7 linked regions of the Callithrix jacchus genome follow. The main gene of each other region encodes a partner of the protein of the gene in region 4 in a complex. Links are inferred from orthologs where the notes say so. Each region holds a gene or a part of one and is shown on either strand. Other genes may lie near its edges. The genes, in order: SNW1, DHX16, SF3B5, RNF113A, CDC40, SNRNP200 and ARMC7.

Region 1 (3,500 bases), on a different chromosome or scaffold from region 4:
AAAATCTGTATCACAGAAGGTTGCTGCAGCCATGCCAGTTCGGGCAGCTGACAAACTGGCTCCTGCTCAGTATATCCGGTATGAGTCTTGCCAAGAAGACTTAGTTTCATTTTGGACTTGATTCAGCTTGGGGAGTCACTAACCCACTTAGCAACTATTATAATGCATTGTTTTGAATAATGACTTGAAGCCTGTCTACTCTCTTTACAGACAATTGAAAGCAGAATTTTTGTTGTCCACTTTGGTTTTTGTTTGTTTATTTGAGATAAGTACTCTGTTGCCCAGGCTGGAGTGCAGTGACACCCTCACGGCTTACTGCAGCCTGACCTCCTGGGCTCAAGTGCTCCTCCCGCCTTGATGCCACCGTACCTGGCTAATATTTTAATGTTTTGTAGAGACAAGGTCTCACCTTGATGCTCAGGCTGTTCTCGAACTCCTGGACCCAAGCGATCCTCCTGCCTTGTTATCCCAAAGTGCTAAGATTACAGATGTGAGCCACCACACTTGGCCTCTTTTTATGCCTTTTTTTTTTTTGGAGACAGAGTCTTGCTCTGTTACCCTGTTGCCCAGGCTGGAGTACAATAGTGTGATCTTCTTGGCTCACTGCAATCTCTGCCTCCCAAGAGCTTCTTCTGCCTCAGCCTCCCGAGTAGCTAGGATTACAGGTGCCCGCCATCATGCCCAGCTAATTTTTGTATTTTTAGTAGAGATAGTTTCACTGTGTTGGCCAGGCTGATCTCAAACTCCTGACCTCAAATGGTCCACCCTCTTCAGCCTCCCAAAATTCTGGGATTACAGGCGTGAGCCACCATGCCCGCCTATGCTATATTTCTGTTTTTCTTTTTCTTTCTTTTTTTTTGAGACAGAGTCTCTCTCTGTCACCCAAGCTGGAGTGCAGTGGCATGGTCTTGGTTCACTGCAACCTCTGCCTCCTGGGTTCAAGTGATTCTCCTGCCTCAGTCTTCCAAGTGGCTGTGATTGCAGGCATGTACCACCATGCTCAGCTAATTTTTGTATTTTTAGTGGAGACGGTTTTTACCATTTTAGCCAGGCTGGTCTCAAATTCCCGACCTCAGATGATCCGCCCACTTCAGCCTCCCAAAGTACTGGGATTACAGGCATGAGCCAACTGGCCCAGCCCTATGCTATTTTCAAAATATATTTTTTGTTCTTAGAAATTAACAGTCACTTGTAGTATATGACCTAAATCACAATTATTATTTATAGTTTTCCATTTATGGGTAATAGATATCTTTATAATACTTCTAAATTTTGAGGCATTTCACTTGACTGAATATTTGCATAGATAGATGAATCACATACAGATATTAAGGGAAAATTCAGAGCTCGTAGGGCTGCTGTTATTATTATTCTTTTCTCTGTTTTTTAACCTATGATTAATCAAAAACTGCTAACTGTAAGTTGCCTGCTGGGATTATTATGAGTGTTTTTACCCCAGATGCAGGCATACCAAATAGATACTGTTTCCTAAACTGCTTATCTGTGAAACTGAATACTGCATCTTCGATGTTGGAAAATGTATGAGGAGGGGTTATCTGCACACTAATACCACTCAAATTTGTATTTTGTCTGTAACTCATAATTTCTGTTATTTTATCTCTCTTGCTGTCTGCTTTGTCTAAATATTTTGTTAATTTTCTATTAATACTTTGCGAAAGGAATTGAAAATGTTGTAACAGAAGGAAAATGCCTTCCGAAAGCTTGAACTAGTTACACCTTTAGTTTTTATCTGCTTTCTTCAGATACACACCATCTCAGCAAGGAGTGGCTTTCAACTCTGGAGCTAAACAGAGGGTTATTCGGATGGTAGAAATGCAAAAAGATCCAATGGAGCCTCCAAGATTCAAGTAAGTAAAAAGGAGGAGGCTACTAATACACATAAAAACATGGATGAATCTCAAAACAATTATGCTGAGTGAAGGAAGCCAGGCAAAAACAAGTACCTCCAATATGATTTCATTTATGTAAAACTCTAGGAAATGCAAACTAACCTGTAGTGATGAAAGATCAGTGATTGCCTCTGGGGAAGGAGGTAGGGACAAAGAGGAGATGGGAGGGAGGAGAGGAATAGGCAAGGGGCAAGCAGAAACTTCTGGGGATGACAGGTATGTTCACTGTCTTGATTGTGATGATGATTTCACAGGTGCTTATTTGTGTCAAAATCTAATCAAATTGTATACTTTAAATGTGTACAGTTAATTAAATGTCAATTATCTCAATAAAGGTGCTTTTTAAAATGAAAAAAGTTATATTACTCTGCAAAATGACAATAATGTTGGGAGGTAGGGTAACAATGATGACAAAGTTGGCGTATTTTATTCATTGTCATAGTGGAGTGGTAAGTGCGTATCATTATACAGTCTCTGTTTTTGTCTATGTTTGAAACTTTTATGCAAGAAAAAAGGAGGGGAGACTTGATGTGATGACTAAAAGGGAGGAAACTGTATCACTCTCTGGTTGTGTTTTGATTTATACTTCAGGATTAATAAGAAAATTCCCCGGGGACCACCTTCTCCTCCTGCACCTGTCATGCATTCTCCTAGCCGAAAGGTATTCTTTATTATAGTCTAAAATCTTTTTTTCTACTCATGATTATTAATTTTATAGATAATTTCCCTATACCTATACAGGTACATGTCACCACATGACTTGTAGTTTCTTTTTTTATTTTATAAGATGAAGTATCAAGAATGCTTATGAGAATTTATATAACATGTTAGCTATAAGTTTTGTTATTAGTAACCCAAATCCTACTTTTAATGGAATGGATAGGGTCTGCTGTTTCACTTACAAAGATGTTACAGGAAGTGAATATATCGATTCCATTAGTTCTCTAATAATTCGACTTTCAAGATATGTTTTGTTGCTCCAAAGAACAGTTTTTTATCCAAAAGAAGTCACATTGGCTGGGCACAGTGGCTCACGCCTGTAATCCCAGCACTTTGGGAGGCAGAGGCAGGTGGATTATCTGAGGTTGGGAATTCGAGACCAGCCTGACCAACATGGAGAAACCCTGTCTCTACTGAAAAACACACACACACACACACACACACAAATTAGCCAGGTGTGGTGGCATATGCCTGTAATCTCAGCTACTGGGGAGGCTGAGGCAGGAGAATCATTGGAACCCGGGAGACAGAGGTTGCAATGAGCCAGGATCACACCGACGTACTCCAGCCCGGGCAACAAAAATGTAATTGCATCTCAAAAAAAAAAAAAAAAGTCATGGAAAAATACTAGCCACCATTTATAACTGTCAAAAATAATTTCTAGATTATTTTCCATTTTTCACAGTACTTCAAAGTTATTAATAGAATTAATGATACAATAAACTAGTATTAGCAAACAAATGGATTGTTGGCCTTTCACTGTGTATGTGCATATGTCAGTGTATATGGAGCTGTCTTTGACGATAAAGATTATACTTAGATTACTTTGTAGACTATAAATCTAACCCTGTCTCTTCTTTCTCTCTTAAC
Region 2 (3,500 bases), on a different chromosome or scaffold from region 4:
AGGAGTTTAAGACCAGCCAGGCCAACCTGGCAAAACCCCATCTCTCCAAAAAATACAAAAAATGAGCAGGGCATGGTGGCATGTACCTGTAATCCCAGCTACTTGGGATACTGAGGCAGGAGAATTGCTTGAACCTGGGAGACAGAGGTTGCAGTGAGCAGAGGTCATGTCATTGCACTCCAGCCTGGGCGATAGAGCCAGACTCCATCTCAAAAAAAAAAAAAAAAGTATTAGCTGGATGTGGTGGTACGCACCTGTAATCCCAGCTACTTGGGAGGCTGAGGCACAAGAATCACTTGAGCCTGGGAGGCAGAGGCTGCAGTGAGCCAAGATCTTGCCACTGCACTCCAGACTGGGTGACAGAGCAAGACTCTGTCTATAAACAATAAATAAATAAGTCCAAGCTCTCCTGTCATCAAAGGCCCTCCCTAATCTTAGCCCCAAATTGTTTTTAGCCTTATCTCCTACTCCTGTACCGCATGAACCTCCCACTAAGCCTACTAGCTGACGTTCTCACCTCAGACGCACCTTGGGCCTTCCACTGATAACTTCTCAGCCATTTTTCTTTTTTGAGACAGAGTCTCACTCTATCGCCCAGGCTGGAACGCAGAGGCACAATCTCAGCTCACTGCAACCTCCGCCTCCCAGGCTCAAGCGATTCTCCTGCCTCAGCCTCCCAAGTAGCTGGGATTACAGGCACCCTCTACCATGCCTGGCTAATTTTTGTATTTTTAGTTGAGACAGGGTTTCACCATGTTGGCAAGGCTGGTTTAGAACTACTGACCTCAAGTGATCCACCTGCCTTGGCCTCCCAAAGTGCTGGGATTACAGACGTGAGCTACTGCACCCAACCTCAGCCATTTCTCTTAAAGGTCCATATCAAATCCCACCTCCTGGCCCATCAAGGACTTCCTATCTCCACTGAATCTACTGTGCTTACTTTGCAGATCACGTATTTGGCTCTCTCTTGGTTCATACGGTATTTCTCCTCTCTCTTCAGCCCCAGGGGTGAGAGAATGGCTCCTCAGCTATGTCTGCAGCAGTGCCCAGGACTCCCCTTGCATGGGGCAGGCACACACCTTTTTCACTACTGTTGTGTGAAGCATAGGTGTGAAGAGTGTGGGTTTCTCCAACTGACCTTTCGTGCCCCAGGTGGTGTGGGCTGGAAGATACGGGCCTGCATGTCGGAGGGCAGGTTGGCATAAATGGGCAGCACCAGGAGCTCCCGGATTTTGGAGCCCAGGCGGCGGCAGCGATCCTGGAGCATCTCACAGGCAGCCTCAATCTCTTCCTGGATAGAGAGTGGGGAGAGCAGCAAGGGTCCCAGGGTCACAGAAGACCAACATGCCAGCCTAGTCCTCCCCTGGGATACATTACCCCCTCTCCCAACCATATCAGGCACCTGTCCTGTCAGGAACACCAGGATATCCCCAGGGGGCTGGGTCACATGGATCTGCAACACAGATACGACACAAGCTTCCAAGTAGTCAGCCTCTGGAGCCTGGAGAGCAGAAAGAGATGGGGTCACAGGAGGGCCACCTGCTTAGGCAAATCGTTCCTCTCCTCCCAACTCAACATACACTTCATCCTAGTTCCCCTTTGGACTTTCCATTCCATCTTTCCCTCCTTGGGATAACCTCCTCCAAAGTCCCCAGCTTTTCCGCTACACACTTAAGCCCATCCTTCCTGAGGGGGCACCTTGGTATAGAAGATGTCCACAGGAAACCTGCGTCCAGGGATTCGAAACACAGGGGCGTCATCAAAGAAGGTGGAGAAACGGGCAGTGTCCAACGTGGCTGAAGCCACCAGGACCTTGAGCTCAGGTCGGAAGCGAGCAACATCCTTGATCAATCCAAAGAGAATGTCTGTGTGTAGGGTCCGTTCGTGTGCCTCATCCACCATCACCACGCTGAAGAGGTAATAGGGGAGCAATGAGGGAGGAGCGCTGGGTTATGCGTTATCAGACACCAGGGTTCCCTGGATGAGAGGGGAGTAATGGACACAAAGAGCTCAAGAATGACTGTTGAGGGAGGGGGCTCTAAGGAGACGCCACCATCCCAGTTACGTAAGACCAACAGAAAGTCAGAGAAGGCACAGCCCCGTGATCTGCAATCTATTCCAGCCTCAGCAGACAATAGGAGCCAAGATGTAGAGGCTGCACACTGACCCAGGACAAGTCAGACATGCCCTCTAGTTCAGTCAAGGGTCTGCTTAGACTCAGCAGCTCTTACTAGAAAAAGTGGAAGGATATGTTTTAAAGGAAAAAAAAAAAAAAAGTGGAGGGCAGGGTCCCCTTCAGTAAGAGGAGGCCACCAAGGCTGGCTGGGGATAATAGACCAGAGCTGCTGTGATTCAGACAGCCCAGAAGCTCCTGGTTTCCTGTGGAACAACTGCCTCTGGCATCCTTCCTGGCTCTGTTTCTTCTTTAGGAAAGAGGAACAAGTTAAGCCTTTCAACCCCAACTCTCAGAGGACTCTGCACATCCCTTGGTTTCCCCCAACTCAGTTAGGTACATGACACCTTCTTTCTCTTTGCTTTATTCTTTGGCTTTTCTGGGTGGCAGCCAAATCCCAGGGACTCATTCCCATCTTCCCCTACCCACCTTCCCAACCTCAACTCTGTGCCTAACCCTAACTGTGATGGTAAAGTCCCCAGCCATTCCACAAAGCACACTGGCTCGATGGGCAAAAACATCTGCATCAGACACTCTTGCACTGGCTGGCTCTCCATGGGTTCTCAGAGATTTTTTGCAAGGGATATGAAGTATCAAGTTCTATCTGTCCAATTGCTCCACTGTGATCTTCCAGGGCCAGAAATTCACAGCCTCTGAAGAGTTGAAAAGGCACATATTGTTCAGCTGGCCTGATCCCACCCCCAATCTCATTCATGAATCCCTTTTCCCCCTCAACACATGCTAAACCAACCCCTGGTTGGCCATTTCCAGCACTAAGAGCTCATTATTCACAGACCAAGCTACCCAAGACTTGTGTGGAGGACCAAGCCCCAGGGTCCAACCACTCTGACAAGCCCTGCAATCTGAGGGTGACTCAGCCATTTTGGTATGGAGCTGGAATCTGTCTCCCTGTAACCTCCCCATGGTTCCTAGCTATGTCCTGTAGGGTCACATAAAACAAGTCTGATCCTTTCTTCCATGTAACAGCTTTCACATATTTAGAAGAACCAGGATGCTTCCCCTGTTTCTCCCTCTGAGTTGAGCAACCCAAGTGTTTTCAAATGTTCTTCGCACAGCATTTTAGTCTCTGCAGCAATGCTCCTCTATTCTGATTGTTTTCTAAACCTTGGAGATGAGTAGGGACGGAAAAAGAGGTTTCTCTACAATCTCTTCTATCCTACAGCCCCATCTCCATGGTATCTGGAGGTCAGTTCAAGGACCATTTGAACCATAAAGGTTCAAGAACTGGTGGATTAATCAGAAGACAATGGCTGATTGGCTAGGTGGGAAAGGAGAGAAAGGCCAGAGATTAGAGATCCGGGAAAGC
Region 3 (2,444 bases), on a different chromosome or scaffold from region 4:
CTTCTAACATTTGCTTGCTATGCCTACAGTGTTTGACCTTTCTCCACCACCAGCATTAATGTATACCCAAGAACATGGGAAAATGCCTGTCACATAGAGCTCAACAAATATTTGTTGAATGTAGAATGGATGAACTCGCTTGCCATCTTGTCATTTCTGGAGACATGGTTTCAAATTCCCAGGAAAAAGAAAGGATGTAATTTAAAGAGGCTAGGGAAAACAATGACAGCAAAGATTTTTAAAACAGAAGAAAAAGATGGGATACATTAACCGCAAACTTCAAAACTGAAGTCATTGTGAGACTGAAAATAAAGCTCTTGGAGGAAGTGGCAGTCGGGGAACACTATAAAGGTATACAGGCATATCTAAGTGCCTGGCCACAGACACTGGCATTCGCACCCTCACCCAAACCCATTTCCCACTCGGACTCTCGCGAACCTCGGTGCCTGGAGCTCTTTCCGGAGCCCTCCACCCTAACACAGGAAGTTCACACCAAGAGACTGAACGATTTCTAAACTTTATGGAAAAAGCCAATGACAATCAATTAGGCAAAAACGAGACGCCAAATCCCATCTCACTCCAGCGCCACGCCCTCTTCTCAGAGACTTGCCGGCTGCAGGACCTCTCCGCCAGCACAGTTCTCAGGGGTCCTGCTGGTCTCTCAATGCTGTCCCAAAGTGTCCACATGAAGGCGGGTCAGGAGGGACTTCCCCGGCAAGCACTTCTATACGCAGAAAGCGCGGGACGCAGGAGCCATGGAGAGAGCCGGTCCCTTGAAGGCAGGAATACTCGAGGGATTTGGCAAACGGGAGGAACGCTGGGAGAGGCGCCGCGCACGGCGTTGGTAAGGCAGTCTCAGTTCTCCTCGGGCTTGTCGGCTGGCGGTCCACAAGGCTGCAGCATCTTCTCCATCAAGTTGAAGCGGACTCGCGCTTTGCTCTCATTCTCCGCAATGGCGAAGTAGTTGAGAAGGTCGAAGTGGCCCATGTAGGAGCAGTACGAGTCGCGGTGTTGGTTCACCAGCCACTCCCACTTGGTGGTGTCGGCGTGGCCCGTGCCGATGTACTTGGACTGCAAGTGCTCCAGCTGGCTGTGGATGGTGTAGCGGTCCGTCATCTCGCCGCTTTCCCCTTCGCTCCGAGGTCAGAGGCCGCAGGAAACAAGTCACCGCTCTACCGTTTCAAGCGGGAGTGAGGACACCGCACAGCACCTCCGGGCCCACGCGGTCGCAGAAGAATGGCGTCACTGAGACTAAGTAGTGTAACTCTCGCTCATAGGGCTCAGAGGCGGAAGCGGAAGCGGAAGCACATCAGTCACGGAATTGGAGTTGCCGAGGTATGCGACGCTACAAGTGTGCCGCCCCTGTAGTGAGCCGTGCCCCTTCATAGAGCGTTGCATGATGGTCCGCTTAGTGGCTATGAGAGGCCCTTTTCAACCGGGAGCGTTGCATGCTGGGACTTGTGGTCTTGGTCTTTGGAGTTCGTGCACGCCAGCCTCCGGAACTTCTGGTCGCCTTTTAAAAGCGGTATGGGTGCCTAGTGGAGGGTGTTGTCTGCGAGGCGGGAAGCATCCGTGGTTGGCTTGGGGCTGATGGGAAATGGGAAACCCAAATAGGAGTGGACTACGAGCAACCCCGAAAATAAACTCTTATGTATTTCGGACCTATCGTGGCGGCACGGCAGTCCCTTCACTACCCGGGATGGATTACCCAGAAGTCAGTAGGCGCGAGTTCTGGTCCCAACTATGTCGCTTAGGAGTTTGTAGCATCAAAGAGTTATTTCAGCTCTAACCAGGGTGTTTGGTGAGCAAGTACAGTACCCATTTCCTCACATTCCGGCTCCACCTCAAGTTCCTCCTTCCTCTCTAGCCAGTTATTTTGATATCCTCCCTCCAATGCCTCACGGCACCCTACTTGGCCCTTCCATTCAGTGGGTTTTGTGAATTCAACCAACCCGACTGAAAATATTTGGGAAAAAAATTAGTGTGTACCGAAGTGTAGACTTTTAAAGGTTATTATACCCTAAACAATATAACAACCATTTACATAGTATTTACATTGTATTGGGTATTGTTAAATAATCTAGAGAAAAACTATACGGGAGGATGTGTGTATATGCAAATACAAGCCATTTTATATCAGGGACTTGAGTATCTTCTAGTTTTGGTATCCATGGAGTCCTGGAACCAATCACTCACAGATACTGAGGGACAACTGTACTTCTCCATGTTACCTGTTGTGCCCATTCCCCAGTTCCTTGTGCAAGCTGTTCCCTCTACTTGGAATGTCTGTTCCCTTGGTGAACGCATCTGCCTTAAAGGCAGCTCAAATGCATCTCCCTAGAATTTTCTCTGGCTGCTCCAGACAGATGTAAATTCTTCTTCCTCTTTGCAGATTATCCATCTCTTCCTTATTATTGCTTTATATCCTAATTTTTAGTTTAATA
Region 4 (2,968 bases):
ACATTTCAAGTGGTCAACAGCCACATGAGGCTAGTGTCTGTCTATCACACTGGATAGCAGAGCACAGATCACTTTTATCATCCATAGAAGGGGGGTTAACTATTGCTGCTTCCAAGACAGCAAGGAACATTTTCCATACGTGAAGTCTGTGGTACTAGCTACCAATCGCCCAAACCCAACCCCTCTCCCTCACACCTTGGCTCTGATATATTTTGTAGTACAGGCTCCTAAGAGAAAGAATGCATGAAAGTACCTGGTAAACATTACGTGATACAGAAATGTGATATAATAAACAGGCTCAGAGTTCTTGCTTTCATCATAGCTTTGGCTACTTCGAGCAAATTCTAGCTCTTTTCTCAAACTACTCCCATCTCTATAATTTATGCCAAAGTGTTCTAGGGCTAAAAATCCCGATTATACCTACCTTGAAGCTTTTAATCCAGGACCCTACTTCACCACCCGCCTTCTGTCACTTTCTCTAAAAGGACACGAATTAAGACTTCCAAAAGAACAAAATATTTATTTTTTAAATTTAAGAATTATGGGAAGCCTAAGTAATGGGAATTGGATCCTCATCGGGGTCTTCTGGGAAGTTGGAAGCACCACCCTCTCCTGTAGCACGATGCTTCTCTAGTTTAGCAATCAATTCTTTCGCTGGATTGAAGACGCCGTAGGTCTGCTGGTCACAGACAAAGCAGCGCGGGGTGGTACGGAAATGCTGCAGTGCACATCTCTCGCAGAAATAATGCCTGCACTTGGTGACAACTGGGTTTTGGAAGCTCTGGCGACAGATGAAACATTTGAATGGTATTTCCTCATCATCGCTTCCCACTTCATAGTTTTCATCCTCATAGACACCATAGCGACCCTCATCAAGCTCACGTTCGATCTGCCACCCATGCTTGTAATCTGAACGGTCATGGAGGAATTTGCAGCTGTCTCCGAAGCCGCAGAAGCCAGTCTCTTTGTAGTCCTTACAGATGTCGGGCTGGTAATCCCAGCGCACGGTGGCACGTAGATGCTCGGGCGCTCGGATGGGGCCCTTCCTCACCATCCCGGAAGAGGCATTGCCCATAGACGTATCCTTGGGCTTCATGTATTTCTGATAATTGTTGATTCCCCGATAGATCTTGTCATCCTCCTTGCCCCTCAGCTCCTCCTGGATCTTCTGGCTGCGCTCAAAGATGGCTTGTGCATCGCGCTCTTTCTCTGTGTCCAGCTCATAGACGGCTGTTGCCCCCATATCCTCTGGTCCCACGGGTTTCGCCGAGCGGGTGGATTTATAAACCACGCCGAGACTCTCGGGCTCATTTTCCACCTCCTCCTCGCTGCTCAAGTTGCCGTAAGCCGCCTTCTGTCTACCACTGTCACGGGTCTTCTGTATCATTGGATTGTGGGTCGTCCGCTTCTTTTCCGGTCGAATCACAGTGCAGCCTTCGTCGCTACTGCTGCTGCTTTCTCCAGGCTCTGGGTCGCAGGCCGGGCGCTTTCTGCGTCCAGCAGCCCCTTTCCGCCCAGGCTTTTTGAAAAGGAAGGTGCACACCTGATCCGCCGTTTTTCCTGGAGAAAGCTGCTCGGCCATTTTAGAGTCCCGAGCTCCGAAACGGCCGTGGCTGCCTGGGTAGCACTTGGCCTCCGCGCGTCACTCCACGTTGCGCGCTCCGCCGCTAGTCAAAGCAAAAGACTGTGGCGGAAGAAGACTGCGAGAACGCGAACGCTAGCCTCTCTTGAGCCCTGGAGGATTCCGTCGCTTCCTCCGGAGCCGTACGTGGCACCGCCCCGCTCGCTGGCGGCCGCGGGGCTTACTGGGAAGAGAGCCGGAGATCCGTCACCTTTCAAGGACTCAGAAGTAGGGTTTTGGTCTAGGTAACCGGGCAGAGATGTGGTTCGAGATACTCCCCGGACTCGCCGCCATGGGCGTGTGCTTGCTTATTCCAGGACTGTCTACTGCGTACATCCACAAGTTCACTAACGGCGGCAAGGTAAGGGGGCTTGAGGGCGCGGGGGCCGACTCCACGGGCTGATTTCCGAAAAGGGTGGGGGGCAGGGAGGCATCAGCTTGCGGACCCTCTCTCCGAGGTCGGCCTTCTCCTTTCTTAGGGTTGCCTAGAAGCTGAGGCTTGCGAAACGAAGGTTGGTAGAAAACACATCCTGCTCTAGTGAAAACCAGCGTTTTAGGGTGGATCAGAGTGGGCCTTAGGGCAGAGTAGCGACTCGGGGCCCGGAAAGGTAGATTAGAAGAGGTGGCTTAAGTCTGTAATCCAGCACTTTGCGAGGCCGAGGCGGGCGGATTACCTGAAGTCGGGAGATCAAGACCAGCCTGACCAACATGGTGAAACCCCGTCTCTACTAAAAATACAAAATCAGCCGGGTGTGGTGGCGCATGCCTGTAATCCTAGTTATTTGGGAGGCTGAGGCAGGAGAATTGCTTGAACCCGGGAGGTGGAGGTGGAGGTGAGCCGAGATCGCACCATTGCACTCCAGCCTGGGCAACAGTCACGAAACTCGTTTCGAAAAAAAAAAACCAGAGGTTCTCCTGCCTCAGCCTCCCGAGTAGCTGGGACTACAGGCGGGTGCCACCACGCCCGGCTAATTTTTATTTTTGTTTGTATTTTTAGTAGAGACGGGGTTTCATCATGTTGGCGAGGCTGGTCTCGAACTCCTGACCTCAGGTGATCCACCCATCATGACCTCCCAAAGTGCTGGGATTACAGATGTGAGCTCCTGGCCACCCATAACTTTTTTATTCTCCACTTTTTGTTGCAAGCCTTTAATAATTTACTGCAAGATCTTATTTTATTTTTATTATTTTATCTTTTTGTAGAGATGGGGTTTCTCCATGTTGGTCAGGCTGGTCTTGAACTCCTGACATCAGGGGATCTGCCTGCCTTGGCCTCCCAAAGTGCTGGGATTACAGGCAGGAGCTACCGTGCCCGGCCAAGATCTAGTTTTTTACATTGGGATTCAT
Region 5 (3,500 bases), on a different chromosome or scaffold from region 4:
AATTAACCAAACAGATTTAACCAAAGAACTAGCTTTGCAGCACTCCCACTCTGTTACTGAAAACTCACCTTAATTTTACAGTCCATGGAACAAGACAGCAATAAATGGCCAGAGAGAGGAAACAATCTGACTGCACTGACGCCCTGTAAAAAGGTATTAAAGTTATCAACCAGAAGCATTCTAAAGAGCAGCTAAAATTAAGCATCAAGAGAAGACAGTAGATATTAAGCAGCTTAATTTGCTATTTGTCTTCATTCCAAAAATCACAACTTAGAATAACCTTCATTAGCATTCCAAGAGCAGGCCTTATTGACGCTAAGCTTTTGAAGATTTTTTTTTTTTTTAACCTTTAATATTGAGTTCCTCACCCAAAGGAATCCTGAGTCAATCAAATTGCTAATGCCCTGACTTGTTTTCCTTTTTTAACTTAGTCCCTTTGCTCTTTGCAAAGAGTTGGAAATTACCAGTTGGAATAGTGCAGATGATGAAGAATACCAACATCAAAACTTTTCATGTACCTTGTCTCTGCATTAGTTTAAAAATTACCATAGTTTATAAACCAGGGCACATCTAATCTCTGAAGTGTGATAACCACAAGAGCTAAAGCAAAATTACTGAAGCTAAGCAGGAGACTTGGTGCTAATACTAGCCCATTACTCACTGATTTGGTGCCCAAAAGGAAGACTGTAGCAGGAGCTTGTGGGGAAAGGCCTGGGCTGCAAGGATACAGGGCACTGAACCATGCATGCTATGGCCTTGAAGACTGATTAGTCACTTGTAATGGATGTGTGGGCACCTCCAAAGCCTAGAATGCAGCTTACATTCAAATTAATTTCCCTACACATTTACCAGAAATACTAAATGTTCCACATCAATAGCTGAAACTTTACCTTGGCTTCATTATTATAACATTACAGCAAACACACACACCAACTTGCTTACTTTTGTGTGTCCAGACCACACATGAATTTGTTTTTTGGGAAGATAACACTTCTCAGGCGGCATAGTTGACCGCAGATTAACACCAACGTCCTGAGGTATGTGAAGATAGGATCTGCCCTGATAGTCATACATTTCTTTAACTGAAACAAAAAGGCAAAGAAAATCGATAAACAAATACAAGCTACAGTCATGAAATCTCTATCTTAAAATAATATTTTATTCACAGGAATAGCATTTTGTATTAAGGTTAAGTAATAACACTCCAATGATGTCAAGATCAAGAGTCAGCTAAGATTTAAGTGCTTTAAATAACTGCTATCATTTACAACTAGAGGTAGTATTTTGAAATTCCTAAATACCCAGAGATTATAGACCTTGAGATAAGATCTATACTTCTTTTCATCAGTTACACATCTTAGTGACTTATCTTCACTGTAGCATAATTATAGCAAAGGAAGAAAAGACAATACTGGGGCCTTGTCAGTCATTGGTAAAGAAGCAGAAGTAAAACAGGTTAAGAAGAAATTTAAAACAAACAACAAAAAAAATCAACTATCCTTTTCCCCTGCTTTCCTCTTTATGCCCTTCCAGTTCCTTTTCATCTATCTTTTCCTGCTTTCATCACAAATTTTACAATAAAGTCACCTATGGGAATTACATGACATAGTATATATAAAGTAATTAGCAGCATGGCTGGCACAGAGTAAGTACTCAATAAATGTTATTTTTATATTGTTGTTATTATAGTTGTAAGTACCATAATACTGAATAGACTCCTTAGACATAAAATGGAAGCTTGAAAAACCAAATATGGCTTCATCAAACCTAAATATCTGATGTAATAGTAACATTAGAATAAGCAACACTATAAGTACTAAGTTATTCTTTACAGTTTTAGATAATCATTATGTAATTTCCTAAATATAACTAATTATTAATGAACAGGTATGTTCTAGAATACTTACGCATTTCCTTCTACAAGTCAAAATAAGTATGAGAGGCTTAATCTCCATCTTTTCACATGAAAATCCAAGTTTATTCTTTCTGAGTATAGTTTAGTAAACGGTTATGAACTGTGAGGATACCTGAGTATTTGACTTTGTTAAAAACAATTAAAACGACTGGGGCACTATTAATATACCAAAAGAGTCAACTTTATCTTATGAAAGAATAGACCGTAGACTATTCCAAGTTTCTTTTTTATCTATCATTTAATAACATTCATTGACACTTGAAAAAAAATTATCTGTGGCTATCATTAATCATGCTATTTTTTTCTCCTTTATCAGTATACAGAAGTCTGCTATAATTTCCCTGGGATACAAATTGTCCAACACAATTACGCTCAACATAATGATTTTTTTAACAGCTGATAGTAAGGAGCTTTTTCATAAAAATGAAGATGTATAAAAAATGTAATACCATGTAAGATTGTCTTCTCCTCCCCAGGTTTCTCTTCTTCCTGTTTTCCTTTTTTCTGCCTCTTTGCTGTGATTTCATCCAATTCTTTTTGTTCTTCCTAAGAAAATTAAGGAGTAAAATTTAAAATGAATGTTTTAGAACCTCATTATGCCTAAAGATGGTTATAAATTCTTTATAATGAGGTCTACAAATTTGGTCCAAGTATGTTCCCAGAATAACAAGCTCAACTCCTTTTTTTCTGAGATGGAGTCTTGCTTTGTCACCCAGGCTGGAGTGCACTGGTGTGAGTCTTGGCTCACTGCAACCTCCCTCTTCTGGGTTCAAGTGATTCTCCTACCTCAGCCTCCCGAGTAGCTGGGACTACAAAGCATGCACCACCGTGCCCGGCTAATTTTTTCTATTTTAGCAGAGACAGGGTTTCACTGTGTTGCCCAGGCTGGTCTTGAACTCTTGAGCTCTGGCAATCTGCCCACCTCGGCCTCCCAAAGTGCTAGGATTACGAGCATTGAGCCACCACGCCAGGCCAAGCTCGACTCTTCTATACGCAGAGATTGAGTACCTTTTCTACAAATTACAAAATGGTACTAAATACATAACGGATACTAGAAAATACTTTTCGACTATATAAAATCAGTTTTCAAAACTCATCCTTCTGTGACACCTGGAAATAAATTTTAACATGTTATACTAGTTATGCAAGTAAAAAGACAAGGCAATCAGAAAATCTAGTTCCAGAATGGACACTGAATTTTAGCACAAGATGTTGTTTTTCAGTTAATGATTTTTACCCAGTCCTAGGATGTAAGTGATGACTACACCTCTGTGACACAACTTTTTTAAGGAGCTGGGGACAGAAGATGGGGTAGCAGTAAATCTGTATCCATAAAAACAAAGAAATCAACAGATAAAATCTAAAATAAATAAAAAACAGTAGCATACATTTACTCATCTTAGATGTCACCTGTTTACTCCTATCGTTATAAATATAGATTTACTATATAAGTAACAGCTAGAATATAAGCTTCATAAGGAAAGGATTTTCTTGATCTTGTTCAATGCTGTAGGCCTGGGACTAGAACACTCTCTGGCTCATAGAGACAGTGAGGAGGTGAGGAAGGGAAGGGCAGAGCATTTAC
Region 6 (3,500 bases), on a different chromosome or scaffold from region 4:
TGGAGGGGATCTAGAGGCCACTTAGGTAAAGAGAACAGTGCTTACATCCTTCCTGTTTCTTTTCTGGCAGCTTGTGAGACGCAGCTGCCTGTCTCTTTCCGGCACTTGATCCTGCCAGAGAAGTACCCACCTCCAACTGAACTTTTGGACCTGCAGCCCTTGCCTGTATCTGCTCTGAGAAACAGTGCCTTTGAGAGTCTTTACCAAGATAAATTTCCTTTCTTCAATCCCATCCAGACCCAGGGTGAGTATTTCCATCCCTCCTCTGGAGGCTTTTGAAGTCATTGGGAGACAGATGTGTTCTGTGGCACGCAGGGGAGTGGGGATCCTCAGGCACTTGGTAGGGCTGCAGGCAACTCAGTGTGACCACTGGGGCCCACCAGGACTTTTTCCTTTGTCAGAAGCCCTTGGTTGCCTTGCTGCTCTGCATTTGTCACTATGGAGGGGCAGTAGAGTAAGGCCTTACATGGCATGGTCATTTCTTGGGCACAGGAGGCTTAGAGGCCTGCCCCTGATGCTCAAGTATTGAACCGGAACCATGGGGTGGCACTGAGGCCTCCTCCCTCGCATCATGATAAATAACGGGAACATTCATAGAGCAGGCGCTGTGTTCTCAGTTTTTAGCTGAGTTCATCACCAGTGTTTTCTCTTTTATTCCCCCCACCAAGCCTAAAGGGAGTCATTATTTGAGAGACCGCCATTAGTGTTCCATTTTGTGTGTGTGTGTGTGAGACGGAGTCTTCCTCTTTCCCAGGCTAGAGTATAGTGGCATGGTCTTGGCTCACTGCAACCTCCGCCTCCTGGGTTCAAGAAATTCTCCTGCCTCAGCCTCCCAAGTAGCTGGGATTGTAGGTGCCTACTGCCACGCCCAGCTAATTTATGTACTTTTAGTAGAGACGGGGTTTCACCATGTTGGCCAGGCTGGTCTCGAATTCCTGACCTCAGGTGATCCACCCGCCTCAGCCTCCTAAAGTGCTGGGATTACAGGCGCGAGCCACCGCACCTGGCTAGTGTTCCATTTTATAGATAAGGAACTGAGGCATAGAGGGTGCCCCAGTTGAGTCAACTGATAAATAGTAGAACTTGGATTTTTATCCAGTCTTGATGACAGGGCTAAGGCTCTTACTTTCTACATTAGGCTACTTCCAGGAAATGCAGGAGAGTATTGAAGGGGCAGAGAAAGGGATCCAGTTCCTTTCTGTCCCGCATCCTAGTCCCTGAGAAGCAAAGAAGGATATGTGGCTTCTTTTGCTTTGCTTTAGTTGTCATCCCATGTGTCTCCAGGGGTCCTGGGCTCTTGATCTTGGCCTCTTCCCCTTTACCTAAGTGGGAGCAGGTGAGGGGGATACAGCAGGCCAGCCTGGAGTTAGAGGCTCAGATGCAATTCCTCCTCTACACTCCACAGCTCACTGACTTCATTTCTTATGTTGTCCTTTGCTTTGACAAGTGGTCCATGTTCCAATCTGTCTCTTCTCTCTTGACACTCACACTGCTTCTTTCTGTTGGTTTCCAGTGTTTAACACTGTGTACAACAGTGATGACAACGTGTTTGTGGGGGCCCCCACGGGCAGCGGGAAGACCATTTGTGCAGAGTTTGCTATCCTGCGGATGCTGTTGCAGAGCTCGGAGGGGCGCTGTGTGTACATCACCCCCATGGAGGCCCTGGCAGAGCAGGTGCGATGTGGTGCTGTGTCATGTGAATTTACCCAGCAGCATTTTATCTGTGATTCTATGTAAAGGCTTTCTAAGCCCTGAAATTTGCAGGGTCATTTCCCAGTTTGTGTATTCAAGCCACCGTGGAGGCTCATCCCTGTAAGGGAGGTGGATTGCCTGAGGTCAGGAGTTTGAGACCAGCCTGGCCAAAATGGTAAAACCTCATCCCTACTAAAAATACAAAAATTAGCCAGGCATGGTGGTGGGTGCCTGTAATCTCATCTACTCAGGAGGCTGAGGCAGGAGAATCACTTGAACCCAGGAGGTGGAAGTTACAGTGAGCCAAGATCATACCACTGCACTCCAGCCTGGATAACAAGAGCGAGACTTCGTCTCAAGAAAAAAATAAAAAGCTGCTCCATCACATAAAGGCTTCTGTGGGATTAGAATGTAGCTTGAGATTTGCAGGTCAACAGGTCTCCCTGTTTGGCATCTCAGGTTTTCCTCACATAAGTGAAAGAGGCCTGGCATGACCTGATGTTGTTCTGTCTCACTCCTCTGCCTGCCAGGTGTACATGGACTGGTATGAGAAGTTCCAGGACAGGCTCAATAAGAAGGTGGTGCTCCTGACGGGAGAGACCAGCACAGACCTGAAGCTGCTGGGCAAAGGCAACATCATCATCAGCACCCCTGAGAAGTGGGACATACTTTCCCGGCGATGGAAGCAGCGGAAGAACGTGCAGAACATCAACCTCTTCGTGGTGGATGAGGTCCACCTTATCGGGGGCGAGAATGGGGTATGGTGTGACCTTGCAGTACAGATGACGGGCTAGGACTAAGTGATCTTGGCATTGGGCCTTAATGTTTGGGTCTGAGGACGGAGGTTCAGGACTTCTCCCCAGAGGATTCTGCCTGCCACCCTGTTCCAAAAGTACAATGTGAACTTTTTTGGTAGTACTTTAGGAAAACAGTATTGTTTAATGGAGGTTGGCTGCTGTGGAGGAGCTAGAACCAATGATAGGAGGGCTCTAATTAGAAGGAAGAATGAGGTCATTTTGAGGCTGTTAGGCTGTTCACAGAGGGGACCTCCAGGCAGAGAATGGGAGCCTCGGCCTACAGTGACCTTCCCTCCCTCTTTCCAGCCTGTCTTAGAAGTGATCTGCTCCCGAATGCGCTACATCTCCTCCCAGATTGAGCGGCCTATTCGCATTGTGGCACTCAGCTCTTCGCTCTCCAATGCCAAGGATGTGGCCCACTGGCTGGGCTGCAGTGCCACCTCCACCTTCAACTTCCACCCCAATGTGCGTCCCGTCCCCTTGGAGCTGCACATCCAGGTAGGACCTGCTCTCCTCTTCCCTCTGTGGGGGCTCACAAAGATCCTCAGTGACCCAGGTCTGATAACCTTGGTGTCTTTTCTTCTCCCTGGTCTCCAGGGCTTCAATATCAGCCATACACAAACCCGCCTGCTCTCCATGGCCAAGCCTGTGTACCATGCTATCACCAAGCACTCGCCCAAGAAACCTGTCATTGTCTTTGTACCGTCTCGCAAGCAGACCCGCCTCACTGCCATTGACATCCTTACCACGTGTGCGGCAGACATCCAACGACAGAGGTGGGCAGGGCCTAGCTTCTGGGGTTTGGGGTTAGGTTAAGTGAGGCTGGCTCACTCCAAGAGTGTCCTTTTTATGAGGGTGGGGTTAGCCCATGTGGCTTCGGGCCAGGGTATGCACAGCTGGCAAGGTGTCTGCCAGGAATTGGGCCACTGTGAGCTGAGCCAGTGCTCGTGCCACACAGGTTCTTGCACTGCACTGAGAAGGATCTGATTCCATACCTGGAGAAGCTGAGTG
Region 7 (4,294 bases), on a different chromosome or scaffold from region 4:
CTAACTTGTTCACCATACCCCAGCATTTAGAACAGTAGCTTGCTTATACAGTACGTGCCCAATAAATATTGCCCAGTGAATCACTCAGTAGGTCTTAAGATCACAACTACAGAAGCTATAAGTTACAGATTGCCATCTCTACTTCTCTTGATATGAAAACACTAAATATGAGTTACTTTTATTTTTGAGACAGGATCTTGTTCTGTCACCCAGGCTAGAGTGCAGTGACCCAATCCTAGCTCACTGCAGCCTCAAGCTCCCAGGCTCAAGCAGTCCTCCCACCTCTGCCTCCTGAGTAGCTGTGACACCATGCCAGGTTAATTTTTTTTCTTTGAGACAGAGTTTCACTTTTGTTGCCCAGGCTGGAGCTGGAGTGCAATGGTGTGATCTTGGCTCACTGCAACCTCTACCTCTGGGGTTCAAGTGATTCTCCTGTCTCAGCCTCCAGAGTAGCTGAGATTACAGGTGCCCCCCGCCATGTCCAGCTAATTTTTGTGTTTTTAGTAGAGATGGGGGTTTCACAGTGTTGGCCAGGCTGGTCTCAAACTTCCGACCTCGTGATCTGCCCGCCTCAGCCTCCCAAAGTGCTGTGATTACAAGTGTGAGCCACCACAACCGGCCGACAGGCTAATTTTTGTAATTTTTTTTAATAGCAGAGACGGGATTTTGCCATGTTGCCCAGGCTGGCCTTGAACTCAGGGACTCAAGTTATCTGCCTGCTTCAGCCTCCCAGAGTGCTGAGATTACAGGTTTGAGCCACCTCTCCTGCCTGAAATTGTTGGGGATTTTTTTGGTTTTGTTTCCGTTTTTTTTTTCCAGATGGAGTCTCGTAGTTGCCCAGGCTGGAGAGCAGTGGTGCCATCTGGGCTCACTGCAACCTCCACCTACTGGGTTCAAGCGATTCTCCTGCCTCAGCCTCTCAAGTAGCTGGGATTACAGGTGCCCGCCACCATGCCCAGCTAACTTTTGTATTTTTAGTTACCTATAGGGTTTCATCATGTTGGCCAGGCTGGTCTCAAACTCCTGACCTCAGGTGATCTGTCCACCTCAGCTTCCCAAAGTGCTGGGATTACAGGTGTGAGCCACTGTGCCTGGTCAAAAAATTGCTTTTATTTTTTATTTTATTTTTTTGAAATGGAGTCTTGCTCCCATTGGGCAGGCTGGAGTGCAATGGCATGATCTCAGCTCACTGCAACCTCCACCTCCAGGGTTCAAGGCATTCTCCTTTTTCAGCCTCCCAAGTAGCTGGGATTACAGGATACGCCACTACGCCCAGCTAATTTTTGTATTTTTAGTAGAGACAGGGTTTCACCATGTTGGCCAGGCTACTGAACTCCTGAGCTCAGGTGATCCTCCAGCCTCAGCCTCCCAAAGTGCTAGGATAGGTGTGAGCCACTGTGCAGTGGCTGAAATTGCTCTTTTTAAGACATCTTTTTTTGGGCTGGGCATGGTGGCTCATGCCTGTAATCCCAGCACTTTGGGAAACCAAGGCAGGTGGATCACCTGAGCTCAGGAGTTCAAAGCCTCATCTCTTCTAAAAATACAAAAATTAGCCAGGCATGGTAGTGGGCACCTGTAATCCCAGCTACTCAGGAGGCTGAGATAGGAGAATCACTTGAACCTGGGAGGCGGAGGTTGCAGTGAGCCGAGATCTTGCCATTGCACTCCAGCCTGAGGAAAAAAAGTGAAACTGTCTCAAAACAAAACAAAACATCTTTTTTTTGAGACATGGTCTCGCTCTGTTGTCCAGGTTAGAGTGCAGTGGAGCAATCTCAGCTCACTTTGGCCTCTGCCTCCCAGACTCACGCAATCCTCCTGCTTCAGTCTCCATGGGCCTATAGGTGCACACAACTGTGAGCGGCTAAGTTCTGTATTTTTAGTAGAGACGGGATTTTGCCATGTTGCCCAGGCTGGTCTCAAACTCCTCAGCTCAAGTGATCCGTTTGCCTCAGCCTCCCAAAGTGCTGGGATTACAGGCGTGAGCCACCACGCCCGGCCCCAACGACTCACTTCTAACTCACCTATCTCACCCCGGCCCATTAGACCTTTAGGGAACCGACCCCGCCCTTACCAATAGCAAACTCCACGAGGGTCTCATTCTCCTCCGACAGCGAATCGAGAAATAAATCCAGGACCTGCAGCTGCCGCAGATACTCGTAGTTGTTGGGGTCATAAGCGAAGTTGGCGAGGTTGGCGAGGACTTGCTCCTTGGCGTCTGCAACGGGAAAGCGGCACTGGAGCCAGGTCCGAGCGGCGGTCACAGCAGACCCTGCCCCCCTGGCCCCACCGTGGCTCTCACCTTGGCTCTGGGTCTCCTGGAATTCCGTGACCAGCGCCTGCAGGAATCCCAGCCGCCCGACGTGAGGGTCCACCTTCGGCTTCTGGGCCATGGCCGGTGTGGCAGAGGACCCCCAGGGACGGACGGGAGGGTGGGAAAGGTGCAGGGGAAAGCCGAGCGAGACCTTCACCTGCCCTCCACCTGTGTGGAGAGGGAAGATGGGGGGCGGCAAACGGGTTTCTTTCTAGAGTTCAGATTCTACAGTAATTTGCCGCTGAAAATGGGACGTGGGAGATGGGGCGTGGTCTCAGAATCCTGTGGGAGTTGGGTTTGAAAATCGAAATTGGGGCGCGGGCGACGAGGAACAGTCTACGAGTTGGGGCTTGCAGAGGGGGCACCAGCGCCGTGTGCCGGGTGCCGGGTGCCGGATCCCGGATCCCGGGTCCCGGATCCCGGATCCCGGATCCCGGATCCCGGGATCTGTTCCGAGCTCCCAGCGGAAGCCGCGCTGTCTCCGCCCTTAATATAGCGGAAGGAGCGGGCACGAGGAGGAAAGGGCGGGACAGGGGCGGGGCCGTCGACGAACTCCTTGGCGCACGTACTCCGCGCGGTTACGTTTTTTCTGGATGCGGAAGCCCTTCAGCCTGGGCTGCAGCCCGCTGCTAGCGGATTCCCTGAGACAGGTGCGGGCGTGGGTGGGTTTACTGCGAGGAGCAGCCTGGTTTCCCTTATCTCGTTTCCAGCTGCAAATTACTGCAAAATCTGAACGCAAGAAAGAAACCCACTTGCTGCCCCGGCCGATAGGAGGGCGGGTTAGGGCCTCGCTCGGCTTTCCCGCCCCACCTTTCCCACTCTCCCGCCCATTCCCCGGGGCCCTCAGCCGCCCCGACGTGGCCCAGAAGGTAAGACGCCCACGTCAGGCGGCTGGATTTCCGCGAGGAGCAGCGGAGTCTGCCAGAACCCATGTGGCAGGACGTCGAGGGAGAAGCACCTCCAGGACCCCCACGGCTGGCGGGGGCGTGGCCCAGCCTCCTTGACCCGGACGGCCCTTCGGAGCGCGGGCGTCAGCTCTCTGTGCCCCCCATCGGTCCTTTGCCCCTTTTGCAAAAAGCCTGGCGACCCCGATACGCCCTCCATCCCAGCCCGAGGTGGGTCCGCCACCTCTGGACAGAAATCAAGGGGACTGGCTTATGTCCTGGGGCTTTTCGTCAGTCGGGTGGACGGCGCGCGCCCGGGGAAGCACCGGGGAGCCGGAGGAGGAGCCTTGGATGTGGCCCTTTCAGGGCTTTCTGGATGCTGAAGCCCTTCGGCCGGTTCCCTGTCGGGGATTCTCAGGAAGCAGGTGTGTGCTGCATTAACTCGTGGTCACAGGGAACAAAGCACCAGGGAAGGAGGTGGCCTTGCCACTCTCCGATCGTGTTTGACAATGTGGTATAGGTGGCTTAGGCTGTGCATGTCCTGAGAGTACAAAAGTGGAGTCACTTGCGTTAAAAAACAAACAAGGCCGGGAGCAGTGGCTCACGCCTGTAATTCCTGCACTTTGGGAGGCCGAGGCGGGTGGATCACGAAGTCAAGAAATCGAGACCATCCTGGTCAACATGGTGAAACCCCGTCTCTACTAAAAATACAAAAAATTAGCTGGGCATGGTGGCTCGTGCCTGTAATCCCAGCTACTCAGGAGGCTGAGGCAGGAGAATTGCCTGAACCCAGGAGGCGGAGGTTGCGGTGAGCCAAGATCGCGCCATTGCATTCCAGCCTGGGTAACAAGAGCCAAACTCCCGTCTCAAAAAAACAAAACAAAAGAAAAAAACCAACAAAATCCCGACAGAGTTCAAGAAATCCAGGACGAGAGAGTTCTCATGCATAAATATCTGATAAAACTATCACAAAGACTGCAAAAACCACCACGTTGCACAAAGGCCATCACAAACTTGCACAAAACCACTTCTGCACGGCCATCTGCCCAGCAACTGCCTGTCCAACTTTGAACTGGTCACCCTTGTTATGAATCCTTCT

Evidence for each region.
Region 1: RNF113A (region 4) and SNW1 share a complex: the UniProt entries of both Homo sapiens proteins name them as parts of the minor spliceosome. The link is inferred for Callithrix jacchus from reciprocal best matches to the Homo sapiens genes RNF113A and SNW1.
Region 2: RNF113A (region 4) and DHX16 share a complex: the UniProt entries of both Homo sapiens proteins name them as parts of the minor spliceosome. The link is inferred for Callithrix jacchus from reciprocal best matches to the Homo sapiens genes RNF113A and DHX16.
Region 3: RNF113A (region 4) and SF3B5 share a complex: the UniProt entries of both Homo sapiens proteins name them as parts of the minor spliceosome. The link is inferred for Callithrix jacchus from reciprocal best matches to the Homo sapiens genes RNF113A and SF3B5.
Region 5: RNF113A (region 4) and CDC40 share a complex: the UniProt entries of both Homo sapiens proteins name them as parts of the pre-catalytic and catalytic spliceosome complex. The link is inferred for Callithrix jacchus from reciprocal best matches to the Homo sapiens genes RNF113A and CDC40.
Region 6: RNF113A (region 4) and SNRNP200 share a complex: the UniProt entries of both Homo sapiens proteins name them as parts of the minor spliceosome. The link is inferred for Callithrix jacchus from reciprocal best matches to the Homo sapiens genes RNF113A and SNRNP200.
Region 7: RNF113A (region 4) and ARMC7 share a complex: the UniProt entries of both Homo sapiens proteins name them as parts of the minor spliceosome. The link is inferred for Callithrix jacchus from reciprocal best matches to the Homo sapiens genes RNF113A and ARMC7.

The regions. Positions count from the first base shown.
Region 1 is NC_133509.1:112,693,042-112,696,541, reverse strand, and holds part of SNW1 (SNW domain-containing protein 1), read left to right. Parts: coding exon 1-78; intron 79-1,763; coding exon 1,764-1,868; intron 1,869-2,501; coding exon 2,502-2,571; intron 2,572-3,500. UniProt on the Homo sapiens protein: Involved in pre-mRNA splicing as component of the spliceosome. As a component of the minor spliceosome, involved in the splicing of U12-type introns in pre-mRNAs.
Region 2 is NC_133505.1:35,454,728-35,458,227, forward strand, and holds part of DHX16 (pre-mRNA-splicing factor ATP-dependent RNA helicase DHX16), read right to left. Parts: intron 1,910-3,500; coding exon 1,699-1,909; intron 1,502-1,698; coding exon 1,403-1,501; intron 1,292-1,402; coding exon 1,139-1,291; intron 1-1,138. UniProt on the Homo sapiens protein: Required for pre-mRNA splicing as a component of the spliceosome. Contributes to pre-mRNA splicing after spliceosome formation and prior to the first transesterification reaction.
Region 3 is NC_133505.1:150,851,934-150,854,377, forward strand, and holds SF3B5 (splicing factor 3B subunit 5), read right to left. Parts: upstream 1,237-2,444; 5' UTR 1,117-1,236; coding exon 856-1,116; 3' UTR 501-855; downstream 1-500. Other genes in the region: uncharacterized protein LOC118153004, read left to right, coding at 1,237-1,335. UniProt on the Homo sapiens protein: Component of the 17S U2 SnRNP complex of the spliceosome, a large ribonucleoprotein complex that removes introns from transcribed pre-mRNAs.
Region 4 is NC_133524.1:115,851,741-115,854,708, forward strand, and holds RNF113A (E3 ubiquitin-protein ligase RNF113A), read right to left. Parts: upstream 1,684-2,968; 5' UTR 1,583-1,683; coding exon 551-1,582; 3' UTR 501-550; downstream 1-500. Other genes in the region: NDUFA1 (NADH dehydrogenase [ubiquinone] 1 alpha subcomplex subunit 1), read left to right, coding at 1,881-1,982. UniProt on the Homo sapiens protein: Required for pre-mRNA splicing as component of the spliceosome. As a component of the minor spliceosome, involved in the splicing of U12-type introns in pre-mRNAs. E3 ubiquitin-protein ligase that catalyzes the transfer of ubiquitin onto target proteins.
Region 5 is NC_133505.1:116,374,140-116,377,639, reverse strand, and holds part of CDC40 (pre-mRNA-processing factor 17), read right to left. Parts: intron 2,462-3,500; coding exon 2,365-2,461; intron 1,083-2,364; coding exon 943-1,082; intron 144-942; coding exon 69-143; intron 1-68. UniProt on the Homo sapiens protein: Required for pre-mRNA splicing as component of the activated spliceosome. Plays an important role in embryonic brain development; this function does not require proline isomerization.
Region 6 is NC_133515.1:6,128,603-6,132,102, reverse strand, and holds part of SNRNP200 (U5 small nuclear ribonucleoprotein 200 kDa helicase), read left to right. Parts: intron 1-70; coding exon 71-244; intron 245-1,513; coding exon 1,514-1,674; intron 1,675-2,222; coding exon 2,223-2,450; intron 2,451-2,795; coding exon 2,796-2,987; intron 2,988-3,086; coding exon 3,087-3,265; intron 3,266-3,447; coding exon 3,448-3,500. UniProt on the Homo sapiens protein: Catalyzes the ATP-dependent unwinding of U4/U6 RNA duplices, an essential step in the assembly of a catalytically active spliceosome. Plays a role in pre-mRNA splicing as a core component of precatalytic, catalytic and postcatalytic spliceosomal complexes.
Region 7 is NC_133506.1:131,032,995-131,037,288, reverse strand, and holds the start of ARMC7 (armadillo repeat-containing protein 7), read right to left. Parts: upstream 2,801-4,294; 5' UTR 2,391-2,800; coding exon 2,300-2,390; intron 2,216-2,299; coding exon 2,072-2,215; intron 1-2,071. UniProt on the Homo sapiens protein: As a component of the minor spliceosome, involved in the splicing of U12-type introns in pre-mRNAs.